Astyanax mexicanus: one gene and its partners. The protein of the gene in region 4 purifies or fractionates together with the protein of the main gene of each other region. This does not show direct contact. Links are inferred from orthologs where the notes say so. Each region holds a gene or a part of one and is shown on either strand. Other genes may lie near its edges.

The links.
Region 1: the proteins of kpna1 (region 4) and xrn2 purify together in Homo sapiens (affinity purification with mass spectrometry; 4 studies listed by BioGRID and IntAct, with this or other methods). This does not show direct contact. The link is inferred for Astyanax mexicanus from reciprocal best matches to the Homo sapiens genes KPNA1 and XRN2.
Region 2: the proteins of kpna1 (region 4) and mau2 purify together in Homo sapiens (affinity purification with mass spectrometry; 3 studies listed by BioGRID and IntAct, with this or other methods). This does not show direct contact. The link is inferred for Astyanax mexicanus from reciprocal best matches to the Homo sapiens genes KPNA1 and MAU2.
Region 3: the proteins of kpna1 (region 4) and nopchap1 purify together in Homo sapiens (co-immunoprecipitation; 3 studies listed by BioGRID and IntAct, with this or other methods). This does not show direct contact. The link is inferred for Astyanax mexicanus from reciprocal best matches to the Homo sapiens genes KPNA1 and NOPCHAP1.

Annotation. Positions count from the first base shown.
Region 1 is NC_064408.1:83,918,545-83,925,430, forward strand, and holds the start of xrn2 (5'-3' exoribonuclease 2), read right to left. Parts: upstream 3,008-6,886; 5' UTR 2,857-3,007; coding exon 2,782-2,856; intron 567-2,781; coding exon 439-566; intron 355-438; coding exon 243-354; intron 1-242. UniProt on the Homo sapiens protein: Possesses 5'->3' exoribonuclease activity. May promote the termination of transcription by RNA polymerase II.
Region 2 is NC_064411.1:47,986,025-47,993,231, forward strand, and holds the start of mau2 (MAU2 chromatid cohesion factor homolog), read right to left. Parts: upstream 3,005-7,207; 5' UTR 2,743-3,004; coding exon 2,509-2,742; intron 1,381-2,508; coding exon 1,363-1,380; intron 1,063-1,362; coding exon 997-1,062; intron 156-996; coding exon 60-155; intron 1-59. Other genes in the region: sugp1 (SURP and G-patch domain-containing protein 1), read right to left, coding at 5,372-5,398, 6,046-6,175, 6,564-6,709, 6,917-7,023. UniProt on the Homo sapiens protein: Plays an important role in the loading of the cohesin complex on to DNA. Forms a heterodimeric complex (also known as cohesin loading complex) with NIPBL/SCC2 which mediates the loading of the cohesin complex onto chromatin.
Region 3 is NC_064409.1:6,106,137-6,113,721, forward strand, and holds the start of nopchap1 (uncharacterized protein C12orf45 homolog), read right to left. Parts: upstream 3,018-7,585; 5' UTR 2,938-3,017; coding exon 2,865-2,937; intron 31-2,864; coding exon 1-30. UniProt on the Homo sapiens protein: Client-loading PAQosome/R2TP complex cofactor that selects NOP58 to promote box C/D small nucleolar ribonucleoprotein (snoRNP) assembly. Acts as a bridge between NOP58 and the R2TP complex via RUVBL1:RUVBL2.
Region 4 is NC_064408.1:95,811,463-95,819,349, forward strand, and holds the start of kpna1 (importin subunit alpha-5), read right to left. Parts: upstream 3,026-7,887; 5' UTR 2,903-3,025; intron 2,285-2,902; exon of another isoform or gene 1,711-2,284; intron 1-1,710. Other genes in the region: si:ch211-161h7.8 (thiosulfate:glutathione sulfurtransferase), read left to right, coding at 6,192-6,330. UniProt on the Homo sapiens protein: Functions in nuclear protein import as an adapter protein for nuclear receptor KPNB1. Binds specifically and directly to substrates containing either a simple or bipartite NLS motif.

The DNA of each region.
Region 1 (6,886 bases), about 12 Mb from region 4:
ATTGTTATATAATAAGCATCATCAATAGGCAGTTTCCTTAAAAACTGCTTATAACTGGTTTTATAGCACACAAATTCTCTGTTCCAAAAGTGCCCCAAAACAGCTTTAATCTTTTTTTTTTTTTTTTTTTTTTAACTTTGTGCTATTTTATTATTTATGGTACAGTGAGATGATGTTAGCCTGGAGCCCTGCTGCTACTTGTCAAAACTGAAAATAACATTTAAAAATCAGACCATACTTACAACTCCATCGATTGCCATGTAAAGAACTCTCCTCGGCCGAACGATGTTAAAAAGCCGATCAATGTACTCAAAAATGGCAACCATCATTTCATCTTCATTTTTCGGTGCCGGCCTGAAAAGTAAAGCAAACATTGTCTGGAAAAAATACTGACCATCTTTTTTTACATTTATCTTCCAAGCTAATTCAGATACTTACTTGTCTTCAGGATGTGTACAAGGATGGATGATTCCATTCATGTCCAAATAGAGGTTGTCAAACTCCACCTCATTTGGGTTGGGTTTACTGGTGTCAACTGGTATTTGAACTCCATTGCATTCCTTAGACTAAAAAAAGAAAGAAAAACAATGGACACAGTTACTTCCAAGTAAAACAAAAGAATGTATGCTACACTGTATACATCGGCATAGGGCATTGAATTAAAAAAAATAATTAAAAAAATGTGCCATGAGTCTAATGTGGTGGTTTTACTAACTGTTTGGTCAGTTCATTGTTTTAACTATGTATAATAATAAAAAAAATGTCTTTCATTATGCTATTTTATTATGTAATTTAATGGTCGTTAAATAATATTGTTTATCAAAATTTTTGGTACTATATATGGTCCACTTGGTGCAGCTTGGTATGATCCCTGGTGTACTATAGGTTAGTTAGCTTCTTTTGCAAAGGGGTGTTAAAATGGGGGCCAAATTCCAGCACGCCGTTAAGTAACTAGTTAGTCAATTCCCCTGCTCTTACAGGCCTACTAAACATGACTGTTAACAGGTGAATGGAATCAAGTGTGCTTGAGTAGGAAACACACGTGCAGTTTACTTGTTACTTGCTACAATTTAGGTGCAAATTATGGCAAATAACAGGAAAAAGTGCACTGGCAAACTAGACAAAAAACAAGCTCATAAGTGATTTGTATTTAAGTGGTTTTGGTCAGAAACTACAGAGCCCCTAAGGTGACGTAATGCAGATGTTCTAAATCTCTCGGAAGTTGCAGGAATCTACTGTATATAAATAATTGCTCCCTGATCCTTGCAAGTCAGATTAAATCTCCCAGAATCTAAAATGAGTGTCCCAGGAGTGAATGCAAATGTGCAAGCAGCCGACCAAGACTTTTTTTCCCCACAAACTGAGAGGAAATTGTGTTTTGCAGCTTGGGATGTCTACTTTATATATTATAATAATAAAAATAATAAATGTATGATCACAACTTAAGTCGTGGGAACAAGATAATTAAGTTGTGGGAATGACTTACATGGCCAGGATTTAATTATTTCGTTAACACGTTATGGTCACACACTAGGATCTCATTTCTGCACCCTCATTTTTAATGTCTATTGCTGTTACCTTAGGGGCTTAGTAGAAACACACACCGGAGAAATGCTTTTATTTCTGTTCACTTGTGTTTTCCTCTTTATTTACAATTGTGTGTTACATCACTTCTGCATTTATATGTGGCTAAACTAGAGACTCCTGTAGGTTAATAGTTTTTAATTGGAGAGTTTTTGACAAGACCCCAATTTAGAAAATCAGATTTTACAACTCTGAAATACGAGGTTTCGCTGGATCTCATTTCAGCGCCTTAAAAAGTCATGGCTAGGGGTCATATCTTATTGTGTGCAATAATACCTGCAACATTTTTTAATTTTATGAATTAAATCACCAACCACTAATTATCACATCAGGGTACTACTTTTTTAGCAAAAAAAAAAAAAAAAAAAACACAGCACACTGTTCTCATTTCCCATGATATATTTACTACAGACAGATAATATTATTTACTTTACTTCAGTCCTGGATATATGGAGATATCTGGAGTCCATTATTAATATGAGACTGGATCATTAACTTAATTTAGAAATCTGATAAAATACTAGTATATTTTTTTATCTCTCAGTTAGGGATGTGCCATATCATATCGTATCCAATAATAAAATATATATATTTATTTTGTTGCAGTAACGTTAGTGTTTAGTTTAGTCATATCGCCATGAATATCGTTTTTTGCAAAAAAATACCATAAAATATCGTGATATTATTTTAGGGGCATATTGCACACCCCTATTGCCACGCGTTTTTTCTATATATTTTTTTAACGCTAACGTTAGTTAACTAGCGCCTAGTGAATAACTAGCTAGCTAAACATAGGTAACATAACATTTCCAGCATAACATAAAGGCAGAGTTAGCTAGTTTAGCTTAGCTTAGCTCTGGTTAGCTGTGAACAGTTGCTGTTTGAACGTAGACATTAACGTTTTAGCTAGTTAGCTTAGCAGTATCCTCAGTTAGCTAACGCTTGATTATTTAATTAACCGCTGTGTATCAAAAGACTCCGTTGTCTCAGAGACCGTTAACAACACCACTCAGCCCGTTAGCTCCAGAGTTATGTTAAAACCTGGTTTATTAAACTGCCTACAGACTCTAACCTACATATATTTCCCCCTAGTGTTCTGTTAGCTAACTAAAAAGTGCGTGTTATTCTCCACAGGGCATTTCTCCTCAGCAGCGTTAGCCTATTGCTAGCGCTAGCTGTAGCATTAGCTTAGCTTACCTTCTCCTCCAAACAGTTCACAATTATAGACGCATATTTCCGACTCAGCCAGCGGAAAAACGCCGGCACTCCCATCTTCTCTTTAAAACCACGAGTTTAAACTGACCGTGTTTTTAAAATAATATATCTGTGTGAAACTTAAAAACAGCTCGGGATGAGTGGGAGCCTGTAGCGCAGCGGAGCAGCGTGCTTTTAACCAGCTAAAGAGCTACAGCTCAAACACAGGCCGGGTTTATTCCGGTTCAAGAGCAGCAGCGGCGGAGCAGAGCAGATCAGCGCGCCCCCCACAGTCTCAAACACACAGCTACATCCACTCATTCATCAACCTGACCAGATCACACCAGATAGTTAATTATAGCGGGAGTCCTGCCTTTCTCAAAAACATCACACACTTAAAAAAAAAAATAATAAGCACACCATGCTGACCAGCTTAGATCATGACCAGTGTTGATCAGACTAAGCTAGACAATTTGTATAAGTAAGCTTGACCAGGCATGAGCAATGAACATTAAATGTGTTACATACATGTTTTGGTGGATTACAGCTTTATATGTTTATAATAGACAACCAACCATTATTAAACATTGTCTCATAGTAGGGCAAACTCCAGCAAGCTTAAGTAACTAGTTAACTAATTCCCCTGCTCTAACTGGCCTACTAAATATGACAGTTAACAGTTGAATGGAATCAAGTGTGCTTAAGCAGGAAAAGCACTTGCAGTTTGCTTGTTACTTAATGTAGAGTCAAAATATGGCAAATAACAGGAACTGCATTGGCAAACTAGATGAAGAAACACAAATTTATGCAGCTTTTAAATCCAACGCTTTGGAGATTGTAAGTATGATGTGATTTGTATTCGAGTGGTTTTGGTCAGAAACTACAGAGCCCCTAGGAACCCATGATGTAAAAAGAAAAATAATATTATAATGTGTGGTCACAATTATTAAGTTGTGGGAACTACTTATATGGCCAGTATTTAAGCATTTTATTCCCACGCCTTAATAACTCATCCCAACAAATGTATTATCTCATTTCCAAAATTCCAAATTGATCTCGCCTAACCTGGCCACGCATTAGGATCTTGTTTCCGCAGCTTAAAAAGTCATGGCCACACATTAGGATTCTTGTTCCCACACTGTAATAAATTGTGGCCACACATTATATTGTTTCTTTATTTTTATTTTTTTGATTATGCTGTTACCTTAGAGGCTCTGTAGAAACACCACGAACCCCCCGGTGAAATACTTTTTATTCCTATTCACTTCTGTTTTTCTCTCTATTTACAATTAGGTAATGCATTATTGCTGCAATTATATGTGGCTTAAAAAGCTAGACAACCTGTGTGAGTAAGCTTGAACAAGCATTATATATTCTTCAAATAAATTAGCGATTCTCGATTATAATAAAGACTTAGTTTGTACCATTTAAAGTGATGTGCAAGCTATTGTTTAACAAATAGTAAGCAGCCCCCTTCAGCCTTACATGAAGCTCTTATGAAAATAAGAAAATAAATACAAAGAGTATAAGGGTATAAGTATAAAAATACTAAAAATATATAATATAAGTTGTATTAAATATAAGTTTGATACAAAAACCTATATAAAACCATAACATTGTATCAGTGCATTAGAGAAAATTTTAAGTTTATTTAATCACTTTTTGCTATCTGGGTATGCTGGTCAAGAGCTTACAAGCTCTTTTTCTGACCAGCTAAGGCCATCTTGAATATTGAAGACCATCCAAATCCAACTACTTTCAAAAGCTGGTCTTAAACTTACATAGGTACCCTAATGCTGAATTTAATAGTTGCTGCTATTTTTGTTGCAGCTCAAAATTACAAGTGGTTAGGATCAGAGAATCATTTAAACTGGAGGTTGATGAGACGAACCTTAAATATTGATACGAAACAAAATAACAGATTCTGCTCACACTTACAAAGACTACTTTTTCTTCATGCCCCAAGCAGGGGGAAGAATCTTTCCAGCATTCAGGTTTACCCATTTTTGTGCACTGACTAAATCCTGTACTACATTTCTACATTTTACTAAATCTGTTTTAAAATGTACACTTACCTGCACTATGCCTTCCTCTTGTAAATATTAAATGTTTTCAAACTGGAATCACTTTATTATTTTGTTGTTGTGGAAGGGATATCACTTAAAATTGTGTCACTCTCCTCATTTCACAGTTAACCCAATTAGACAGTGAGACAGTTCATGTGCAGGTCAGCGTCATGGTCATGCAGTGAGCATGGGGCTAATGTGCTTTAATTGCATTTCTAGTAGTGAGCTGATGCTTCATTAACAGGCATGGGATTATATATGAGGTTCTTGGTATAAGACTCATTTCTATGCAGAGGCTTTGATGTGGTTGATGCATATGCAGAGACTAGTCCTTATCTTCTTTCTCTCCTCATAAGTGAACAGTGTGCGCTCTCTTCATGTTACTTCCACGAACCCATGTTCATTAATGCATCCTTTTGTACACATATTTTAAAGTACCACACACACAGTTTGTCTAATTAGACGATGAATTAAACCAAATTCCTAAAGCACATTAAAACCATAGTTCAATGGAGAGTCTAAATTATCATCCCCTTCCCCTCGTACTATGTCACAGTGTTGTAGCATATTTGCTTGTGTGATTTCTAAAATAAGGACCATTTAAAAGGTTTTTAGACATGATAACAGCACGTATGCTATTTGTGTATGCTGTGTATAATTCTGTTGTTTAACAATGTATCTCAGAGCCCTACTGGTTGGACAAAATTAATGCTTGTACTTCTTGTATTTAATGTTCTTTTACTACAGTACCCAAGGTACAGAGCCCGGGAGGGGCCGTGGATAAAAAAAATAATTAAATCGAGTGAACGATATAGCAGTTCTGTACCCAAGATGCACCACACAAATGCATGATAATCTCCCACAATAGTGACTAACATAGCCATAGCATTCTGTAGTCCTACGCCCATATTTGGAGTTCCGTGTCTAGGCTTAATTGCGCAATGAGCAGAATGAATGGGGTCTATCACAATCTGTGATTAATAAATATGTTCATAACCATATATGTTTTATTCTGCGTACAGTTTTCTTCTGATTATCACTGGATTTTCTGAACTACGAGATTGTTTAAGAGTCGTAATAAGAATTTGCTACAGTTAAGCTAATGCAACAGTAATTGGTAGCTTTTTTCATTTTCTATAGGGTTCTGAGCATATTTATTTATTTATGTGATTGAGGTGATAAAAAAAATTCTCCCCATTGGAAAATTTAGCTTACACACGGAACACCAAATGTGGGCATAAACAACATGGTGCCCACTACAAAATGACATATGTCTATTAGTGCTGCTATTTATTTAAACGTTCCCCCACCTTCAAGATAAATTGCAGCTCCACTGTGGGACATAAGTATGCATGTTTACGTCAGAATAAGGGATGGCTATGGTTTTCATTTCGGCCAAAGTGCCACTTTAAGTATATGATGGGATCTGTCAGGGCAAATAGACTAAAAAAATCATGTTAATCATAACGTGTTTTACAATTACAGTCTTCACACAAACTGAAAGCGTCCACTAGCCATTTGAAGGCACTCCTATTACCTTCAATAGTAGAGATGATCTGTTTCAAGAAAACTGTCTCAAAACATGGGTTAAATATGATGAAGTGAAGGAGGTATATCAATACAAAAGAACATTTTAAAAAGAACAGTGAGCGCATAGGTTGTTAACAATGTGAACATTGTATGTACACTGAAAAAAATCATGTGTTGGATTTACTTAAAAAAATCAAGGCAACGTTTTGCACCAATTTTTTTAAGTAAATTCAACTTGATGAATTTTTAAGTAAGTTCAACTAAAAATATTTTGTTACACCAACTCATTTGTATTAGACTCATACAACTTAATATCAAGTCAGTCCAACTCAAAGAAATCAAGCTCAATTTACATATTCACCTATAAATATTAAGTCAGTCTAACTCAATGAAATCAAGCTTAATTTATATATTCACCTTTAAATATTAAGTCAGTCTAACTCAATGAAATCAAGTTTAATTTACATATTCACCTTTAAATATTAAGTCAGTCTAACTCAATGAAATCAAGT
Region 2 (7,207 bases), on a different chromosome or scaffold from region 4:
TTCACTTGCTGTTAAAACATTGCAAAAAATGATGTAAAGGAATGCATGCCATCACTTACTGCTAGCTGGAATAACAATCTGCAGTGCCAATATGGAGTCTGCTGGGAGATCTGAATGGCTTTGCGTAGTAAAGGCTTAGCAGAATCAACCAAATTCTGTCAAGAAAGGAATAAAATGACATGGAATTTCTCAGATATAGACACCTACTCAATGAACATAAAGGGTATTAACAATGACTTTACCCCCCTTCACTGCAGTAACAAAATATAATGTGAAACTTGCCCAGAAGTGTATATGCTGTAACATCACTGTAAGAATTTGATGAAATTCAGCCACAAGAGAATCAGTAAGATCAGAAGATCTGTTGAATCAGCTGTTATTATTGTTCATCAATATTAACAACAATATTTACAATTCAATAAACTGTGGACTTTTAATGTCCAAAGTTTGGGTCCAGGGACAGTAATCTTAGACTAATGTGCGAGTGATCTAGATCTAGCAGTGGTTCACAACTCTCACTCTGGAGGACCCCATAATCTACAAAATGTAGTGTTTCCATCTCAAACACCACATTTACTGCTCAACATTATGTTAAATGCACATAGATTACAGGTTAAAATAATTTGCAGCAGCAAACAAACAAAACAAAAAAACGATTAAGTACCATCCAATATTGATTCTGTTCTTGAATATGAAATATATCCCCATTTTCCACAACAAATAATGACTTGAGGGAATGATAAGGTGCAACTTCCAAATCAAGAATTTGCATTTACCCAAACACTGATACTGCATGAATACAGAATCAACTCAGAAAGGGCTTGTAAATTAGCTGACAAGTTAGATCAGGTACATTGGGAACAGGACCAGGGTTGTAAATCGCTGTTCTAGAGCATCCTTGTTACGTAAATTTAGAAAAAAGCATACATACACTTCTGCAGACAGTGCAACCGTCCACAATACATTACGCAAAATTACACAAAATACAATTCTTACCTGTTGGCAATAGAGCTCCGAGAGGAGACTGGCAGCCTCAAATTTAACATCTTCAAACTGTGGGACCTGAGAACACTGGTTAAGGTTATATTTTTACTACAGATCTGACATGATTATAATCTCAGACAGCTATTTAACTGAAAGAACTGAAAAAAACACACTGAAGAAAGCCATTACTTGTGAAAACAAAAAGTTCAGCCATAATCTGTACCCTTCCTTTTGAGTTCTGCTTTAGGCAGTGAAACTGGAAGCTAATTGACAGTTTGCACAAGCACACACTGATTATACAGACATTTATACATATAACAAAGCTAGTCATCCAAATAAAGCGATTTTCTCCATTGTAGATGCATTGCAAAAGGATACTTGTTGCGAGATGCACCACTGAAAGAGATAAAGAAAGAATAAAAAAAGATAAATTAGTTATTAGGTACCTAGCTAGCAAGCAAACACAGTTAACTTACATCACCGAAAACAGCTAAGATTTACACACATAAACCATTCAAATAAACAACAGTAGCTAAGTAACTAACATTGAAACAGTTAAGAGTGAAAAATGATACACAAATATGATATTGGGACTAACTTACAGTACATTAGTTAGCTAGGGACTGGCTAATGTAGCATAGCTAGCTAAACTAGCTAGCTATAAGATACACTGAGAATACAGGAGTATTAAGGTTTTTTTTTTATACGTTTAAGACTTTATAATTCCACTCAACAAATAACAAAATAAGAACATGTTTAAAAGCAAGGAACACCAATATTAACTTCACAGACTAGAGTAAGCTAACGTACATCTCTGTATTTCCCCCAGTAAAAATTCAAAAACGACATTTCAAAGACGCATAAATTAGTTAATTGTTTAGCACACACGAGAAAATTAAGTTATGGTCCATTAGACATATGGTATTATGATTAATTGGGGTTATTTATCTTGATTTGTTAGTTAAATCACGTCAGCTTAGGTTAACTTAATTCAGTCTGCCTTTAAGTTACCGACAACTAAATCTGAAAGATGTTAAGCTAAGCTAGCTAGCTTAAGTTAGTATAAAACCTATTTTCTTCACTTTCTGTGTTGTGTAAGACTTTTGGGAAGATGTATTCAAGATATTTCAACATTAATTCAAGCTTAATTTTAAGCTAAAACCGTTTAAAACCTAATTTTCTAAGAATATGAGTAATATAGCTAGTTAGCTAGCCAGCTAAGGATCTGCAGATACCCTGATGTGTATATATAACCTACAAGCTAACTAGCGCTAGCTTTTGAATGGTAGCTAGCTTATGCTAGCTTTAGAGGAACATATAGCTTGTATAGGTACATTTAGGTTTGTTTTACGTGTATACTCTCTAGAAATAAGCTGTAATTATCGTTTACGCCCCAAACAACGTACTTAATGTGTCTATCTTAAAATTCACACAGTCAAAAGTCTAAAAAGCAGCACTTTCTGCACTGAGGCCTACACGCCCGCCTCTCCGCCGCATCCTCGGTGTTTCCTGATCTGCTCTTACCGCTTTTTCCAAATGACTCCGGGCCAAGTCGCTGTTCTTGGTGTGGTGGTACAAGACCGAGCCGAGCTGGAGGTGCGTTCGGGCTTCTACCCTCTGCGAAGGTTTAAACTGAAGCACAGCCTGGAGACAGTGCACACACAGACGTATTTTAGGTGGGCTCGACGTGCGAAAATGTTCCGCGAAGCCGAGCAGGGCGAGGTACCAGGACTCCGGGGCCTCAGCGCCAGTCGCCATTTTGACGACAATAACAACAAAAACAAGCCGCGGCCTGAACGGAGCTCCGCACAGGCGGCGAGAGTTCAGTGGAGTGGACTCAGGGGACGCTAGCTAAGATTTTACCCCCATTTCCAGCCTCTAAACTACTCTAAGAACTTGCTTTCCCCCGCACAGAGTCCTTCAGCTATCTACAATTTATCTGTACTCTCTATTTCGCTTATTTTTTCCCCTTTAAACCTGGTAAAAAAAGGGTAAAAAGCAGCTAAAGTGCTCTTCGCCGTCCCCCCACTCAGACACCCCAGATTCAGAAAGCAGATTCACACTCCTTTAGTGATACAATCCTCTGTTTCTTAGTGTTATTCAATAGAAATGACATTTATTAAGAATTCAGAGAGATTTCATAGTTTTTAGGACATATAGATAAAGATCATTTGTTGGGTCTTCACTACCAATGTAACATGCCTTTTGTGTTTATATAAAGTTCATAATACCAAAAGGACATTGAATTAATTGAAACATTAAAACAACTCTGTTCATCGTTATGGTTTTATTTATATATACTATTTGGTTGTACCGCCTTTAGCTTTGATTGTGGTACGCATTTACTATGGCATTTTTTTAATAAGCTTCTGCAATGTTACAAGACGTATTTAAATCCAGTGTTGCACTAATTTTCATCAAGATCTTGCAGCAGCATTGATGATGGTAGAGTCTGACTGCTGCACAAAGCAGCTCTTCTCCAGCACATCCCAAAGATTCTCAATGAGGTTAAGGTCCGGACTCTGTGGTGGTCAATATGTGTAAAAATTATGCTCATGCTCCCTGAACCATTTCTTTTACAACTCCAGAGCATTTTAAAATATGGCCGTGCCATCAGGCATGAAAAAAATCCATTGATGGAATATCCTGGTTCTTCAATATATTCAGGTAGTCGGCTGACCTCATTCTTTAAGCACATACTGTTGCTGAACCTAGACCTGAACAACTGCAGCAACCCTAGATCATTTGCTTAGTTAAATCCCATCCTTCTGCCTTTCTCTGAGTTATTGATACCGATGGATGATAATCTGGGAATGCCCCCGTACACATTAGGATTGTCATCCACTATCTAACCGCTCTGGTGGTCAACCTGGCATTATATAAATGTGGTTCTACACACAGATAACTATCATTTTCTGAAGTAAGGGATCCAACCAACACCTTGGGGTTGGGTTTGAGTGTTGCATGTGACCTTTGGCTCTTCCCCAAATCAGATCTGCCAGGGTCAGCAGCCAGACACTGACAATGTTGCATATTATCTGTTCTCCATAAATCTAGTCAAAAGTTATTCCATCTTTCTGCCTTTCTCTGACTGCCCAACTGTCTGGCCTCATACCAATGGAAGTCTTTGGAAGTCAGGCTTCCCAGTCACCCACCACAGATCAGCTTCCCACCGCCCAGTATATGCCACCTGCCTCTGATATGTTAACTCTCCACTACCAATTACATTAAAGTTTATATAAATTCTCATTAGAAATTTTCTAACTGTATGTGACTCATGTGGATGTATAATAACTTTTTAACATTAATTTATAAGTTGTCTGACAAGAGGAGGATGGGGCCCTTCTTATATATTAGCTATGCTTCCTCCCAAGGTTTCTTCCTCCTTTAGCTATGAGAGAGTTTTTCTTTGCCTTTATTGCTTACAGTTTCGTCTGATTCTCTGTTGACATCAAGCATCACTAAGCATGAACACTATAAAAGTAAATGATTTGATTTCAATGCAACCAAATCTTCACAGCACTAAAAGTAAAGTCTTTCTCAGTAGCCTATTGGTCTCACATTTGTGAAAGTCTAACAAGACTTAATGGTGACAGCATTAGCAAACATCACACAATGATGTGCGAAATAAAAATGAACTCTGCTTCTGGGGCTTCGTTTTGTACTATTTCTACTATTGTTGTGATGCTGCTTTTCCTTTTCCCTATATGTTTTACATGTGCTGAGAATTGTGGGTAACCATGGGATGTGAAGGATACATCAGTTGCATCCTCAAAATGAAAATATCCTTTTTTAACTGTATATGAAGCATCTTTAATTTGGGGACAGCCTAGTGACTAGGTTTCTATGTGGAGCCTGTTTAGGTGTTGTATGTCAGCAACACCTGTAACATGGTAAAACATAAAACACTGTGTTGGAGAACCATTTAAACCTTTATTTGAGGTCTACAGAACACATTACATTCAGTATATGACAACAAACAAGAGAGAAAACAGCTTTTTCACTGCTATAATGATGAATTCACTGTCAAGATACTGTCAAGACAATCGGCGCAGCTCAAAAGTTCAAGTGAAGTGTCCATTTGGATATTTGGAAAAAATACACAACCAGCTAAGATAACTCTGAATCTGAACTGTATGATTCTATGAAGTTGAAAGTTTTTATTTTTTAAAAAAGGGAACATGTGAAGGTTTGAGCCATTATCCTCTAAAATGTCTTTGAGCATGATCTACTGAAGCAAAAGGAAAAACGGGACATTTTCAAGTTCGGGCAAAGCATTAATACTCTGTAATACCATCACGGTGTGCATTTTAAACTGCACGTCCAAATGTCAAGGATGTCAAATATTAAAATAAAAAAACTACAGCACAATACAACTGCGATCCCTTCAGTAGTACGGCCTCCTTGGATTATTCTGGAGAGGGGAGAAAAAAAGATAATATCAGGACATAATAAAATAAATACTTAATTAAATTACAAAACAATGAGCAAATTAAAGGCAAGATTATTAATTAACGTACTGTTCAATACCTAAATATTGTCACAGTACTGAAGAATGGAAAAAATATTTTCAAAAATGGATTTGCATGATAGCAGCTATATATTATATGCAGATCATTTACATAACATACAAATCCCACTGGAAATTCTTTGTTTTTGTTTATTTTGTCTTTTGGCAAATGTCTGTCCACATAATCTGAGTAGCTAATTATTTCAACTTTTCCAGGATCTTATAAATATTTTCAGGACTTTTAACACTTCCTTTTGAGCAATTGCAAAAAAACTGGAAAAGTACTGTCAATTTTAAGGTTTTCCCATTTTTCTAGAACACTGCATTGTAATGGTTCATAAATAAAATAAATAACATACAAATTCAAATTTCATGATGATTATTTGATCTCTTGGGACAGTGAAAATGCACAAAGCATGTAGATCATGAAATACTACATTATGACTACATTCACCTATGTTCTGTGTTGCTCAATATATAAAGAATAGTGAATTGCAGATTCAGGTCCTGTGTGAATAATTCACACAAGCAAGCCTGTGCTCTTTACTGACCAGGGGATTAGGTCTGAAGCGGTAAGCCAGCATCATTCTCTTGCGGAAGGCGTCATACTCGTCATCATTTTTAGAGAGTTCTGCAGGTCGGTCCACTCCAAACCCTGCGCCGTCTACTGCAGTGGTTCCCCTGAAAAACACAAATGTGTTTAAAGCCATTGTTTTTTTCTGAAGAACCCTAGAAATCACATAAAGTAATATACTTGATAAAGAGCTCAGAGAGAAGCATATTTTACTACAGCAAAGAACATGCAAACACCTGCAGAACACAGGAATCTGAAGTAGAAATTGAAGAAATGATTGCCTATGTATTGGTACTAGATGATGTTTAGCCGAAATATGTGACTGGCTGTTGAACATCAAAGCTGGTCATGTGGGTGTATATGGGTGTTTATCATATTGACAGGTGAGACCAGCAATCAGTATCAGCCCCAGAAACACTGATCTGCCCTTCTCTTATCTGTAGTGTGAGAATTTAAGAAACTTTACTGTTGATTAAAGCTTTTGATAATTTTCACCTGTTAACAGGGTTCTTGATGCCCTGGCTTTCCGAGCCCAGACCTTCTCCTTCCTTCCAGCCCATCTTCATCAGCATCTTAAAACCAATGTTCTCCACTGTCAACTTGAACTCCTTATACTCAGAGTAATCTGGATCTCTGCCCTCCTACAGATCACAAAGACAAAAACAATATCACAGTCAGTTCAGATTCTTTTTGTAAACACCTTCAGACATAGAGCAACAGCACACAGCAGGAGGATCAATGTCTGAGGGGGTACAGCAGCACCATAAATATGATGTATGCAAAATAAAAAGTACTCTGAATACACTCTGGAGTTTAGCAGCAGGCTTTTATCGTTTTGTTAATCTCACCTTTAGAGCCTTAAATGTCTCCATGAACTTTTCCAGCTCGTCAGGTGGCAGAAAGTCACCAATGAAATGCTTCCCTTTCCCCATCTCAGTCAGCTGCTCTGCCCATTCTGCTCAGGATAACAAACAAATATAAAAACATTAGAGATACAATGAAAGTCGCAGGGTGCATATGATGACATTCCAAATAAATATATAATAATAATATTTAAAGTAAATACAGGGTTCATATACATTTTAACCAATAAATTTCCATGATATTTTCATGACTTTGCCTTCAAGGCAAATTTACGA
Region 3 (7,585 bases), on a different chromosome or scaffold from region 4:
TAGGTTTCAATAAGAGCTTGTCATGAATTCCTGCAGGGAATTTATTGAAAGGAGGATAATATGTTAATTTTTAGACCATTATCAACATTAAATTAAAACTAAATACATTGTAATTTAATACATTAATTTAGTATAATTTAGTAGATCATTTAGGCTGCTAAGTTCCAGACTGAAGCGACTCATATCTGATTTTTTGCTCAATGTGGCTCAGATCTGATTTTTCAATCACTGTGTGAACATGCCAAATCCCTTTTTTTTTTTTTAAATCAGATTTGAGTCACTTTCATAGCGCTATGTGCTCCTCTCTCGTACCATCACATCTCTTGGTGCAGCTGTGCAGCTAAAGCTGCAAAAACAGCAAAAGCAAACTGCCTTGACCTGAGCATGAACTTCAGACCAGCTGTTTACTCTCCACTCCAGCAAAAGATGCTCCACATATGAGCTGCTAACTCATCCATTTCCCTTTATAAAGCTACGAGTCTCTCCTCTCTCTAATATGAGTTTTTTTGTTGTTGTTGGTGAAGAAGGAGACGTTTATACAGGTATCAGTGTGCAGCAAGTGAGGAGTTTCAGATGCAGATTTATTCACATTACCCACAGATACAGATCACTTACATTTATGAATTTTAACCGTCAAGATAGACAAATCAGATCTGAGCACAATGTGGCTTGTAATTTGAACGTAGCCTTAGTGTTTCTGTCCCTTCTAATCCTTATATGAAGTTGTTTCTGCTATTTGTAAAGTCATGTTGTGTATACACTGAACTATACATTTAAAATGAACACTACATAAACAATGAAAATTCACTGAAAAAATATGATTATGAAATATATATATAGTATATATAGTGTATATATTTCACTCAATGACCAACAAAACTACTACTACCACACATGTATTTAATACTTAATAACAAATGCGGTTGTTTAAAGTGTGTGAAGTGATTAAGGTAACTGGCTGTTGAGTTTTGATAATCTGTTATATGAGCCAGGGTTTCCTGCAGTGTGTTGTAGCTACTTAGAGCAGCTGCCTTGACAACAACAAATGCCCCCTGCATTGATTTGATCCCGATTTACAGCTTCACAGTTTGTTGATGGGAAAGTGGGGGGTGGACAAGTAAGTTAAGGCTAGGGAGGCTTTTTTTTTTTGTATAGCTCCCACCCTAACCACAATGCGCTGTGAGAAACCCTGATACCAGGGTATTTTGGAACTAAGTTGCCATATCTCGAGTGATGAGCACATACAATAGGTAGGATAGGTAAACAGACTGCAAAATTAATTTTGTGGAAATGCATAATTTCCTGCTGTTGCAGAAAATATCTCTATCACACTCATGCATGTCTGTTCCCCTCTCCTTGTTTTAAAAATCCAGGTCCCTCAAAATGTGGCGATACTTTAAACTTGTTAATGGCATACTAGGAAACTTTTTTTCAGTTATTTAATGCACTTCACACTGTTTGAGATAAATAAAAGAGTCAAAATAGGGCAAATAAAGGTTCTCTTGGACACCTTTGTGTTCTGTAGTGAAAAAAGGGCTGTATTTCAGAAAGCTGGGGGTGAACGGAAGAGGGCTGTTCAATAAAAGTTCCTACTTGTTAGCATGTTTCAGTTCACTCCAAATACATTTTACAACAGATTTCTCCATTAAAGGAGTACTAAACCCCCTGATTTTTGCTGACAGCTCAGCTTACATTTAAAAAAGGCTAAAAATTGTGAGGAGTTGTTCGGGAGGAGTAGTTTGGGAGGGGCACTGGGTGATGTATGGGTTTAGAGGCAGGGCAGGAGGGAGAGCTGATTGGCTGAGCAGCAGCAGTGTGAGTCTGATTGCAGCGAGAATAAGATGTCTGGACGTCAGCAAGAGGGTGGTATTATTAATTGACTGATCTCCATATTGTGACTGTGTACCAAAGTACCTGTGTGCCTCGGCCTTGGTTTGGGAAGAGACTGACATTAAGCGAAGTTTAAGGGTTAATTTTACCCAGCACCCAGTTCTATATCTTAATAACTAAGGCTGTATCCCTGAAAACATTTTGTCCTTTGAGTTTTACAGCTGTAAAATTGACCGTTTGGGCAAAGGCATGTTGGCGATCTCTGCTGCAGTGCTGTTAGCCAATCAGAGGCGATATTTTTGCATGTATGAATATTCATGAGCAAGAGCCGAAATTCTGTCCTTCTCCAGAGACCTCTAATCCAGTGATATAAAGCAGGGCTAAACAGAAACACCTGAGCACGTTTTTTTTATTCACAAAAAAAACTAACGGCTCACATGGCATTCATTCATACTAGAGACCACAACTAGACATTTTAAAATGAATGAAAAACAATGGAATAAGACCTTTAAAAGGTTAGGAAATGTTTATAATACTTTTTTTTAAGCAGGACTGTTGTATGTTTTATTTACGTTACTTCATAATTGCACATTTCAGCTATTAATAGAAAAAAAATGGTTTTGGCCTTAGTGGCTCTATAATGTTACTTTTACAGTCAAAACTGTCCGGAGTTAACTGTAGAATTAACGTTAACTAAATGATTTATGTTCTGATTAGCTAGTTAGGTTAGCTAGTTGTGCTAATTTAAAGAAGCTTGATGCCACGTGCAGCGTTATATGTACAGATAAACTTCTGTAAGCGTTAAGCAAACAGTATCAATAAGCACAGACAGTATAATGCACCCAAATAAGAAATATCCATCATTAAAAACAAACAGAAACGTTTAAACTGATCTAGATCATTAGCTTGAGTAGCTAACGTTATGTTGTATCAGTTGGTAACACAGTTCTAGAGGAGCAGCAGCTCGTTAGTTAGATATTTATCTAGTTATAAAACCTTTAGTTTTTTACTATTTAGGAGATACGTTAAATCACCTTCTCCGTTTCCGCACCGCAGCAGCTCTCCAGAGGTGTTTTTGCTCGTGTTGTTGCTCTTTTTCTGCTCCATGTTTCTCTCTGTAGCTCCTCTCTGCTGAATAGCAGCATGTGTACACTGTTTACTGAGCAAGAACTGCTTCCGGGGTAAAGGTGAAAAAGCCCCACGCGCTGCTCTGCTGCTGAGCGCCCTCTAGCTATAGTTAAATGAAAAGAACATAGATATGATGCCTATGGTGTAGAAGCTAAGGGGACTTTTATTATAGTGAGTGGATGTCGTGAGCATGCGCGGTGACAGGCATAGATTTGTTTACTTAGACGCCGCATAGTCTGCCTTCTGGCGTATCAGCCGCCATATTGGAGGAGTCAGTTCCAGTTGCATTTATTAGCGCTGTGGAAGGTGTTTAATACACTTATACGATTATTTCTGCCATGTCCTCCATCTCTAAAAACAATAGAAACAGCTGAACATGATATTTAAAAACCGTTTAAAAGTTTAAATGTTTAAATGTTTAAACGTGGAAAGTTCTGATATTAAGTGATTAAAAAATGTAATCTTTTGTGTCTGGGGACACAGACTGAGTTAAGTGTAAAAACTGTAAGAGTGAGACATTTATCCATCTCCCATTGCGCTTCTGTCCCCGGCACTTTGTATAATGCGTTATTGTTGCAAATTAACGAGTAGTCGACAATGAAATTTGTAGTCGACAAATTAAATAATTGACTAATCATTGCAGTATGGCATATTAATAAGTGTATTGGTTTATCAAGTTATATTTTTGAATATGTTAATTCACAAATAATGATTCACACATAAAACAACGTTACTACATCTATGCCGTTTGTAACTAACCAAACCGTGTGAAAATCGGGATTATTATAGGTGTATTAAACACCTTCCTCAATACTAATACATGCACACTTTTTTTTTAATACAAATAGGTACAGTGATTAATTAAAACAGGAAACAAGAAGTAACAGCAACATATCAGCAATGTCAAAGATAAGTAAATAAAGAAAGGAAGAAGGGAAAAAAAAGAAAAAAGCCAGAGGAATTGCCAAAATAATCTAAAGGAAAAAAAACATTCCATAGTCATCTTATAATACATGCACACTTGCACAGAGGGCGCATGCGAGACCCATCCAATATGGCGACCGGCTGAAACGCCAGCTCCGGCTTCTTTATGTATACATGTCTCTGAGCATGCGCAGTGGCGGTGCTCACGGACGCTGCTGCGGTGACGTGCCCGGACTGCTGCATCTCCAGCCTCATCTTCCTGGAGAGAAGCTGCGCGTCTGAGCGGTAAATACGAGCTTTTCTCACAGTAAACCGGGCTGTTATTAACTGTGTTGGGGTCGGAATGTGCGGCAGGAGTCGGTGTAGTGTGAGGGAGCAGAGCTGGGCTGTTTATTTGGCTGTTAGCGCTCATTTTAGCTAAAGAGCAGCAGCAGCAGTTAGCGACTCCAGTAGGTTAGTTAGCCTGTGTCTGTTTGGACGTGGGTAGCTGGCTGATGTAGTTAACTTAGTTGTTAAACCACTGTATTAGTTATAAAGTTAGTAAACCTGTTTGTAAAGTCAGTAAACAGACAGAATAAACTTATTTTTGGGTATTAGTTAACTAGCTTACCTCGCTATCTGTTTATAGCCGAGCTGGCTTGTGTCTCATCCTTTCAAATCAGCCCTTAAATACTTGTTAACTTGTTAAATCTAACAGTGTGTTTAGCTTAATAGTTCGGTCGTTGACAGTCACCCAAAACGCCGCCATGTTTGAGGTATAGTTCCTGTGAGTTGTACTGTAGAAGTGCCAGAAACTAACTTACTTTTATAACATTTGAAAAAAATTAAATCAATAAAGTTGAAGGAACAGAATTAAACTAAGAAAATTGGTTTTCCAGATTAACTCATTTAAATGTCATTTATTTGTGAAAAAGTTCTGCTATTTAGTGAGGAAATGTGTAATCTGTTGTGTTTGGGCGCAGGCCGAGTTGTGTAGTGCTCCAAATTGTCGATTAGTCAACAATGAACATTTAAAGTTGACAATTTTTTAATAAGGACATTGTTGATTATATCGACTAATTGTTGCAGCCCTAATGTATATATCTGTATCCTTGTTGTATTGTACATTCAGTGTCTCTCATTAGTTTACATTAATAATCTTATTTTGCTGTATTTGCTGTACGTTTCTCCCCTGTAGTGTCATATAATTGTATTTTTATTTAACTACATAATTTGAATAAACAAACTATCCCTTACATTGTCCGAAAATTTTAGATGAACAGACCAATAGAAGTTCTTTAGAATGCCCTGAAATAAACTCTTTTTACATTGACTTCCTTTGAAAGTTTAAAATGTTTTTTTTTCTGCTGTAAAGTTGCTGTTTTGGAAATACTTGTTTTTCATTGTACAGCGACGATATGCAGTATTGACAATAAAATTGTCTTGATAATCTGTTAATAAGACTTGACTACAATTGGCTTGACTACAAATGTTAGCTGGATGTAACAGACAATATCTTATTTAGATGCAGCACAAGTGTTTATTAACAGATTTACACATGTTAATGACTGATACACACTTCCTCTCACAAGATTACTAAGGTTTTTTTTTTTGTATATGGGGTGTAGGCTAGTCTTGTGCGGAACGAGCAAATAATTATATCACATTTTTTCTTAAAGAGTCTGTTGTTTTCATGGTATGTATGATGTTATTTATTTTTATTTTATTTTTTGCATGGATTTTACATATGGTTGGGACTTATTTTTCTGTCAGGAGTATGCATAATTTTAAATAATATTTATTGTTTTTATATTTCTTAAACATGCCCCAGACAATATAATAGTATATGAATATTTTGACGTGGTTAGCTGGATCAACCACATTCCGCTAACCATGTTGTGTTACAAAGTGGAAAAACCTGTTTGTAGAGTCAATAAATAGATGGAATAGACTTGTGGGTGTGACTTGTGGGTGTGAGACACGCTTGACTGCTAGTTTTGGTTATTACACCATACCACACCATACCATACCATAGCAAATAGGGATGTTCCAATCACATTTTTTAGACCCAGACTCCCGAGTCATTTGATTTTGATTATCTGCCAATACCAAGTCTCAATCTGATATATTAGCAATGCAGTAAATAAGTAAGAAAAGAAAGAACATATGTAGGTTGTCCCTTAAAGTTAAATAAATTTTAATTATAATTAATACAATGGTAAAAAAAAAAACATTTTAGCACAAATTAAACAAGTACTAAATAGCCATATAAATGTTTTCCATTTAAGTATGTAGCTTTTCTTAAATAAACTAAATAAGAATTGTCACACAACAAGTCTGTGATTAATCATAATTAAGATATTTTTAGGCCTGCAAACTCAATTTATTTTATTATTCCAATCTTGAAAGAGGAAATGCTGTGTGTGCATGCCTGTGTGAGGGGCTGAACATCTTTAGTGCAGTGATGGTGTGTCGACAGTTTGGAGGAAAATGTATAGTGGAAGGTTCCATAGGTAGCTTAAACTTCTGTAGTCCGCTTAATAAACTGCAGTATGAAACCAAAACTAACCAGACCAAATATACACACTGTAACAAAGACACGAAACTTAGTGTGAAGTCTGGTCTCAAAATACAGTAAAGTATATCTACTGTCGGAAGTGTCATTAATAAATGTCAGTTAAGGGGAACTGTGGAAGTCAAAGCCATATCTGGATGATCTAGAAAGCCCCTACAAACAACTGCTTGACTGCCATCCAGAATAGCAGAGCCAAACATGTGACAGCAAAAACAGGTTTCACAGACACAGAAGTGGAGGTGCTCAGTTCTTCTGTGCAGTGTTGCGTTGTGTTGGAGAGGTTTTATCTTTTCTTGTCAAAAACAGAGCTTATTTAATTTATTGGAGGATATAAACTGTATTAACTGTTGTTGTTGAATCATATCAGATCCTAAAGCTCTGTAAAAAATAGTGGAAACCACTTAAAAAAGTTTCTTTTAGCTAATTGAAAACCTCTGGACTACAATCAAGAGATAGATGGATGATCACAAACCATTAAACAAGCTGAACTGCTTGAATTTTTGCACCAGGAGTAAAGCAGCATAAAGTTATCCAAAAGCAGTGTGTAAGACTGGTGGAGGAGAACATGATGCCAAGATGCATGATTACAAACTGTGATTAAAAACCAGGGTTATTTTACCAAATATTGATTTCTGAACTCTTAAAACTTTATGAATATGAACTTGTTTTCTTTGCATTATTTGAGGCCTGTAAGCTCTGCATCTTTTTTGTTATTTCAGCCATTTCTCATTTTCTGCAAATAATTCTCTAAATGACAATATTTTTATTTGGAATTTGGGAAAATATAGCATAAAAGCATAAAACAACAATGCTCATTTTTCTCAAACATATACCTATAAATAGCTAAATCAGAGAAACTGATACAGAAACTGAGGTGGTCTTTTCATATTTTCCAGATCTGTGTGTTCGCTGTTTAAATATTAAGTGTAAATACACCCTAGAAGAGTGGAAGCTGTTATTATATGTAAGCCTACACAAGGCACACAGGTAATTTGTTGCGTTCATGAATAAGTTAGTGTTTGTGTTCCTGTGACCATCCCTCCTCAAAGTGACTCTTAAGACCTGTGGCTGGGAGTGAATGTATTACTGTGTTATTATAGGCTGTGTTTTGTGTACATATTGTATCACATTTCAGAGATCATTCGGTCA
Region 4 (7,887 bases):
CTTTTATGGGACATTGTTTTATGCATTGGTCTTTTGTGGCTGGCTAAATAAAGTATTAATATTTATTTGTAATGTTTATTTGTATGTAAACAAACACGCAAGGAAACACAGAGGAAGATTCTAAGGTCAGAAAAGTGTGAGGTTTTCAATGTACTGTATGATTCAACGTAAATATCCTGACAGGCCCATAGTTAATAATAAATAAACAAAAAAATATGGTTATTCAATGCATTACATCCATGAATACAAAAAAACAGATTATTAGAATTTCCCCTACTGTTTTAAGTGGTGAGTGCATTCACAATATGCTTTTAATGTTTTAATGTTTCACATATTAAATATTTCTGACCCACCTGGCAACAATTTTGCCCTCTCTTCCTCACATTTGGGCCTAATCCTAGGCCTTTGCAGATCAACAACTAAATCCTAAAGGGTGTTCCACATTTCTTGCAAACAACACAAAGAATGGTGAGACTGCCAGTGAGCAAAATAATTCAGGTTATGTTTTCTACTGCTCCTGGTTCTGGTTTTCTACTGGTTTACACGTTGCTTTATACAACCCCCTAAACATACCTTTTTGAAAAGCCTGTAATTTTCTCAGTAAACATTTAGCATCCTGAGGGACAGTGTTGTGATTCCCCGACCAACATTATTCCTATTTTCAACAAAGAATCACTAAAGATATTGCAATTTAGTCCAAGACCAGACCTAATTAATGCTCAAGAAATAGGAATGGTTTGAGATACTGGCAAAGGAACATTACTTTACAAGTTTTGGTAAAACAGTAGACAATAACAGATTACATTACCCATGAATCTAAACACTTAGTATGTTGACACTGCTACAACTGAAGAACATATCTAGAGACTGTTTGCTGAAGAGGGATTAAGTTTGTTCACAGATTATATTTTTCTTTCATTGGAATTTTTCAAATTTAAATGCTTTGCAAGCATTTGGGCTTTATTCATTTCTTAATAAGGAGAACTGTCCCTTATATCCAGGGTTGCAAAAATCTTTACAGATTTCTGTTTAGTTTTTTTTTTTTTCCTCTTCTGTCAAGTGGACCCTACTGGCAAATGTTACACTCTAAAATATTTAAAGTGAGGTTATTACTATTCCCTCAATTTCAGTTTAATAAATCATTTTCTGAATTTAATGTGGTTTAATTATGTTTGAGTATATGAACATTGTGGTTTTATTCTATAAACTACGGACAACATTTCTTCTAAATTCCAAATAAAAATATTGTCATTTAGTGCATTTATTTGCAAAAAAATAAAAATGGCTGAAATAACAAGAACAAAATATGCAGACCTTTCAGACCTCATTCTCAGACCACATGACATAGAAATAGTTCAGAAATCCACATTTGGTGGAATATCCCTGGTTTTAATGCAATTTTTATGCATTCTTGGCATGTTCTCCTCCACCCGTCTTACACGTTGCTTTTGGAGAACTTTATGCCACTCCTGGTGCAAAAATTTAGCATGAAGCACAAAAATACTCTATTACACGACAACAAGTGTAACGTTAGTGGTGTGTAGTGACCTCAGAAGCAACCAAATCTTAGATCAACAAAGTCAGAAAATTGTCCAGCAACGGTTGTCAACTGAACAGTAGGAGCTGGAGACAGTAACACGTTATTTATGTTTCACAAATAACAAAGGTATAGATCATAAAAAGGAAAAATAAAGCCAAGAAAAGACTTACAGGTATCTATGTAGACTTTGACACTACGCTTGAATTCGATGACGCCAATTCAGTGCGGTATTTCTCCTAAACTGCTGGTTAACCCCAGCACCAACAGTCAGAGACAGACCATCAGCCCTGCTGACCTAACTACATAAACAACCGTCGCTAAAGCTATCGTAGCTTAGCCTCGCCAGCTGACGCTAATCTGCCCCCCCCACACACACACACTCACAGCCACAGTGGATGACGTCCATGGGGCAGACATGACCACCTTAGAGGGATGTTTGGCTAGGAAATGTGTGCTAATTCGAGTTACAATTTGTGTGACAGTATATGCATAATATATAAAAAAGTGATAAAACGAGTAAGGACACAGCTAGCAACCCAGGCAGCTTAACATATATGTTAGTTATCTAGCTAAGAGGGCAACATTTAATAGATGGTAAAAGCTAGCATTAGCTAACATAGATTAGATATCTTAAAAACACAGCGACCTAACGGACTTTTAAACCTAATTATTTAGCTAACCTATGTAAAATTATTACAAGTAAACAAAATATCATGAAAAATATAACTAGATAGGTTAGATAACCTAGCGTTAGATAGCTAAAGCTATGTTATATAATGACATAAAGAAAACTGTAACGTTAGCTAGACAGCCTAGTTAGCGCAGTTAGCTAGCTAGCAAGGTAACGTTAGCTAGAAAAAGGCATACAAAATAAATGAGAAGGCAAATGTACCTACGCTTGCTAACTGTTAGCTACCGAGCTAGTTTTTAAGAGTTTGTGAAGGATTGGAAAAACAATCTAACTGATACAAAATAACGGCTAATCTGCGGTCTCAATTAAAAAAGGTCTTATCAATGTGGAATCTGATCTAAATCAGTACTAAAGCCTAACTGTCACCATCGACATCATTAAAAGTGGCTACACCTGTAGGTAGATGAACTAAACTATAGTGGATTAAATATAAAACTACAGAAATGTGTTTCCAGCCTTGCTGGACTCGATGTTCAGCTTTTTCGAGAATAAAGCCCCGCGGCCCCGGTGTGCGCATGCGCCACAATCAGCCGAACGGAGCCGCCTCGCCGGTTGCTCTCTCCTCTCCCTCTTGAATCCGATTTTCTGAAGCTGTCTGTCCGGTACCGAACGCGGCTCGTGTCTAAATATATGACCTCGGTCAAAAATTTTTGCCTTCTTATGACACTGACCTGTTTAAAAGCCGTCCCCGTTTACCCCGTCGTCGGTTTGGGCTGCTGATCCGGAGCGTCTGACCGGTATTGCACTACTGCGCATGTGTGACTGCGGAGGTCTGAGCTCGACCTGCGCATGCGCGTTGCTGTATATTAATAAAACGCTGGTTTAAAATGTAACCCGCTTTACAAAAAAGCCAACAAGCACAGTAAAACACTGCGTCTCTCTATATGCTGTATTCTAACCGTGCATACTGATAGAACCAGCTTTTATTAAAACTTCTCTACTGATTTACAAGAAGAACTGGCCGTCTTGGTCCCGCCTGGGGTTGCCCGAAGACTTTCAGTTTTTATGCATGTAAAGTGTGCATATTCCCAGAGGTGTCAAGTAACTAAGTACAAATATTTTTTAGGTTATCTATACTTTACTGAAGTAATTCTTTTTCTGCCGACTTGTAGCAGCTTTTTTAAACTGCATATTTAACCTGTATGAATGTTATATATACAGCTCTGGGGGAAAATAAGAGATCATTTAAAATTTTAAGTTTCTTTGATTTACCAAATTGAAAACCTCTAAAATAAACAGGAAGATGGATGATTACAAGCCATCAAACCAAGCTAAACTGCTTGAATTTTTACATCAGGAGTGGCAAAACGTTATCCAAAAGCAGCGTGTAAGACTGGTGGAGGAGAACATGTCAAGATGTATGAAATCTGTGATTAAAAACCAGGGTTATTCCACTAAATATTGATTTTTGGGATTCATCTTGCTGGAATTGTGAAAGAGTGGTTTAGGGAGCATGAGGTCATCATTTTCACACATGGATTGGCCACCACAGAGTCCAGACCTTAATCCCACTGAGAATATTTGGGATGTGCTGGAGAAGATCAGTGCAAGACCTTGGTAAAAAAAATAATGCAACACTGGACTAAAATTAATCTTGTGACATTGCAGAAGCTTATTGAAACAATGGCACAGCGAACGCGTGCCGCAATCAAAGCTAAAGACGGTCCAACCTAATAATAGACTGTATGACCTTTTGTTTTTGGTGGCGACCTTTTTTGTCCAGGCAGTGTAAATATACGTTTTAAATATATGTTTGGTGTTATCATTGAGTTTTATAACCGCTAGATGGTGCCACTAACCTACACGAGTAGTGCGGTGTGTTAAAGGTGTCTGATGGAAAACTGGATTTTATTTTAACAGAAAAATATATTTTAGAGGCAGAAAATTGAGCTGTACAGTGTAGCACATGATGGGATTTAATATTAACACTAGGACAAAAGTTGCCAAACAATTCCCATAAAATTACGAGAAAATACCATACCTAATTTAACAATTTGTAACTGTAAAATGACACAATTTCTTTGTGTATATTATTTGTTTATGTTAGGGCCATAATTGTATATTGTTAATAAACATTCTTAAAATGTAATAAAATAAATAAAACACTGCATTAATATATGTTTCATCTAATTATTGTATTTTAAGGTGAATTCAGTTTAACACCCTTTCAAAACAGAAGGATAATTTTTAAAAGCACTAAATGAATTCAATGCTTAAATGGGTTTTTATATAAAGTGCAGTGTTATTTCTGTAATGTTTTATTAGCACTTGAAACTGAAAAATCTTTATATAGCACTTGAACTTTTTCACATTTTTTTCACGTTACAACAACAAACTTAAATGTATTTTATAGAGATTTTAAGTAATAAACCAATACAAAGTAGCACATAATTGTGAAGTGAAATGAAAATAATACATTGTTTTTTAAATTTTATAAAAGAAAAATATGAAAAGTATCCAGCCTTCTTTACTCTGTACCCCTAAATAAAATCCAGTGCAATCAATTGGCATCAGAAGTCACTGAATAAGTTAGAGTGCAGCTGTGTGTAATTTAGTCTCAGTATAAATACAACTGTTCTGTCGAGGCCTCAGTGGTTTGTTAGAGAACACTAGTGGACAAACAGCATTATAAAGACCAAGAAACTCACCAGACAGGTCAGAGATAAAGTTATAGAGAGGCTTAAAGCAGGGTTAGATTATAAAAACATATCCCATGCTTTAAGCATCCCAAGGAGCACTGTTCAATCCAACATCCAAAAATTATTATTATTATTACAAATTATTGCAAATGTATTTTGGTGGCAGCGTGAGCCATGTTTACTAAGAATGTTTACCCGTCCCACCCGTCATAATTTATAGTTTATGTATTAGTAGTAAATCAGTGTTTTAATAGATATGGAACTCTCAGACCTTTTTACAGCCAGAGCTTATCAATTCACCTTGATTTCAGTTTCTAATTTATCTTCTTTGAATGATGATTAAATCAGGCAAACAGTGGAAAAACATGAAGGTGAAAGTATGCAGTATAATAAAAACATTTACCTTTTGTAAATTTAAAATCACTGGCATGCATGTCTAAAGAAATTATACCCAAAACCTAGTCCACAGAGCGTTTTAATACCATTAAAGGCCAACAGTTCTATGTGATAGGTCTAATCCTTAGATGTCTGCACCATTCAGGAACCCAATAAATTGTTTATTATTAACTTAAAAAGCAAGTGTTTCATGTCACTATGCTCAGAGAAATGTTAGTTTAAATCCCAGAGCATGCTGTTTGTTTTAACAACTGTACTCTAAGAAAGCACAGTTGGTCATGCTAGTGTGATGTTGGTCAGCAAAGGCATCTGTTGGCTGATGTATCAAAGCTTGGGAGGTGCGCTTTCCTCAGAGTGGGCTGGCTACCCAGTGATGCTAAATCAGGTCAGTTTAAAAATAGGCGGTGTCTAATGTATGCTGCTTTATAGCATATATGTTCTATTTTTAGATGGCTTATTCTCAAACATTTTTTTTTCTTTAAAATTAGGTCAGGGGAATGTGAAGGACAAACACTTTTTGTTTACTACATAATTCCATACATGTCCCTTAATTGTTTTGATGTCTTTGAAATTATTGTACAATGTAGAAAATATATTAAATAAGGAAAATAAAGAAAAACACTGAATGGAAGGTGAGTTTACTGGTCCTGTATATTTTAATATATATTTATCTCAGCAGCATGTTTTTGTCTGGAAGGTTGTCTTAGTTGAACCCTAATAGGTGGTGGCCAATAGTCAGAATGTACTGTTGCTCATTAAAAGCAGTGTGTGTGTATTAGTATCCTTATCTTAGGTCAGGGGGATGTCTTGTTCACGTTAACTATTAACAGACGCTAGGGGGCAGCATTCACACTGCGCTATAAAGCAGTCGGTCTCTGCGCTCTGTGGCCTGTGGACCATAGTTTGCAGAGAGACCCCAATAGAAATGACAGTGTTTCCAGCTTTGCGGCGCATCAGTGCTGCAATTAAACCAGTTTTCTCCGTTTACTGCCATGGAGGACTCGCATCTGTCCGTGGACTGAGAACATCAGCTGTCAGCTTCAACCCAGATCCATCTAATCCTGGTAAAAAAGAGTGTGTGGGGGGGTCTCTTTATATTGGCAAAAGATTATGAATTATTCATCAGTGCCCCTCTGATGAACTTTAAAAAAATATATATATATATAAAACATAATTTACACAAGGTAAATTGCTATAAACAAATAGCAGGAGATGTTTGGAGCTGTATAAGTCTCTATCTCTTTCTGTGTGGGGGGTCATAGGGCATCTTTACCAAGGGCTGTATCCTTATCATATCTTGTAACTTGCTGATGTGGGGCTCTCTGCACTTCTAAACAAATGAATGAACAGTTTCTACTCATCTTCTGCTGTGGTTGTGTTGGAGCTTTTATAGTATGTGCTGATCACAGCAGCGTGATTGTTGTAGAGATCAGTTGAGACGGCCGGGTCATGGGTCACACTCACGTTTTATCCTGAACAGCTTTTTGTCTATCTCTCTCTGAAGCTGCTTCAAAAGTTTTACTACTACTTTACATGTACATTTACATCTACTTTTGGTCCACAGTACAAAGTTATAAATTACAGATGTCATACACACATAGACTTTTCTCTCTCTTTTTTTAAATATTTTAAATTTAAATATGCCATCTTTACAGACAAAAGAAATAACCATGTTCACAATGAAGGTCACAGTAAAAACATGTCATTTTAAACCATTTGTATTGGTTCGTTATAAAATATGGGCATAAAAAGTAAAAAACAGCATGTGATAATGTGATTTTTTTTCAAGATTTAAAGTTAATTAAAACATTTACTTTTGACATTTTTATACATTTAAAAATACATTTATTTCTGTTTTTCTCTTTTTACATGTTAAATTGAGTAAAACACAATTTTAAGAATAACAGTTAAATGTATTTTTACTTTAATTACGTAAGTTTATTTAATGATGGACTGAGCAAAAGTAAATTAAATATATACAAAATTCCTACAATTAGCTCAAGGTATAGTTTAAAGCAGTAATATTTAATTTCTTGATTTCATACTCCCCAAACCGTCATGTGTAATTTACAGTTTAAACCAAGCCAGTCACGCTTTACTCACAAATTTGTGTGATATGGTGTAATGCAGGATTTTACACAAACAGGATCCTGCACAATTCCAATGTTGCATCACACAGTAACAGCATGCTGAACCTGGAATACCAGCTATTAAAATGCTGTTCTCCTTATTAAAATTCAGATATTTTTATGAGCCAAAACAGCTCAATGAATAAATCACTAAGAACTCGTTTAATGGTGTAAACATTTATATAGTAGTCCAGCATTTGCCAATCTAATAATTTTACAGCTTTTACAGCTATGTTTTACAACATATACAGCTCTGGAAATTTTTAAGAGACAACTTCAGTCTCTAAATCTGTTTCTCTGATTTTACTATTTATAGGTATATGTTTAAGTAAAATGAACATTTTTGTTTGATTCTATAAACTACAGACAACATTTCCCCCAAATTCCAAATTAAAATATTGTCATTTGGAGCATTTATTTGCAGAAAATGAGAAATGACTGGAATAACAAAAAAGATGCAGAACTTTCAGACCTCAAATAATGCAAAGAAAA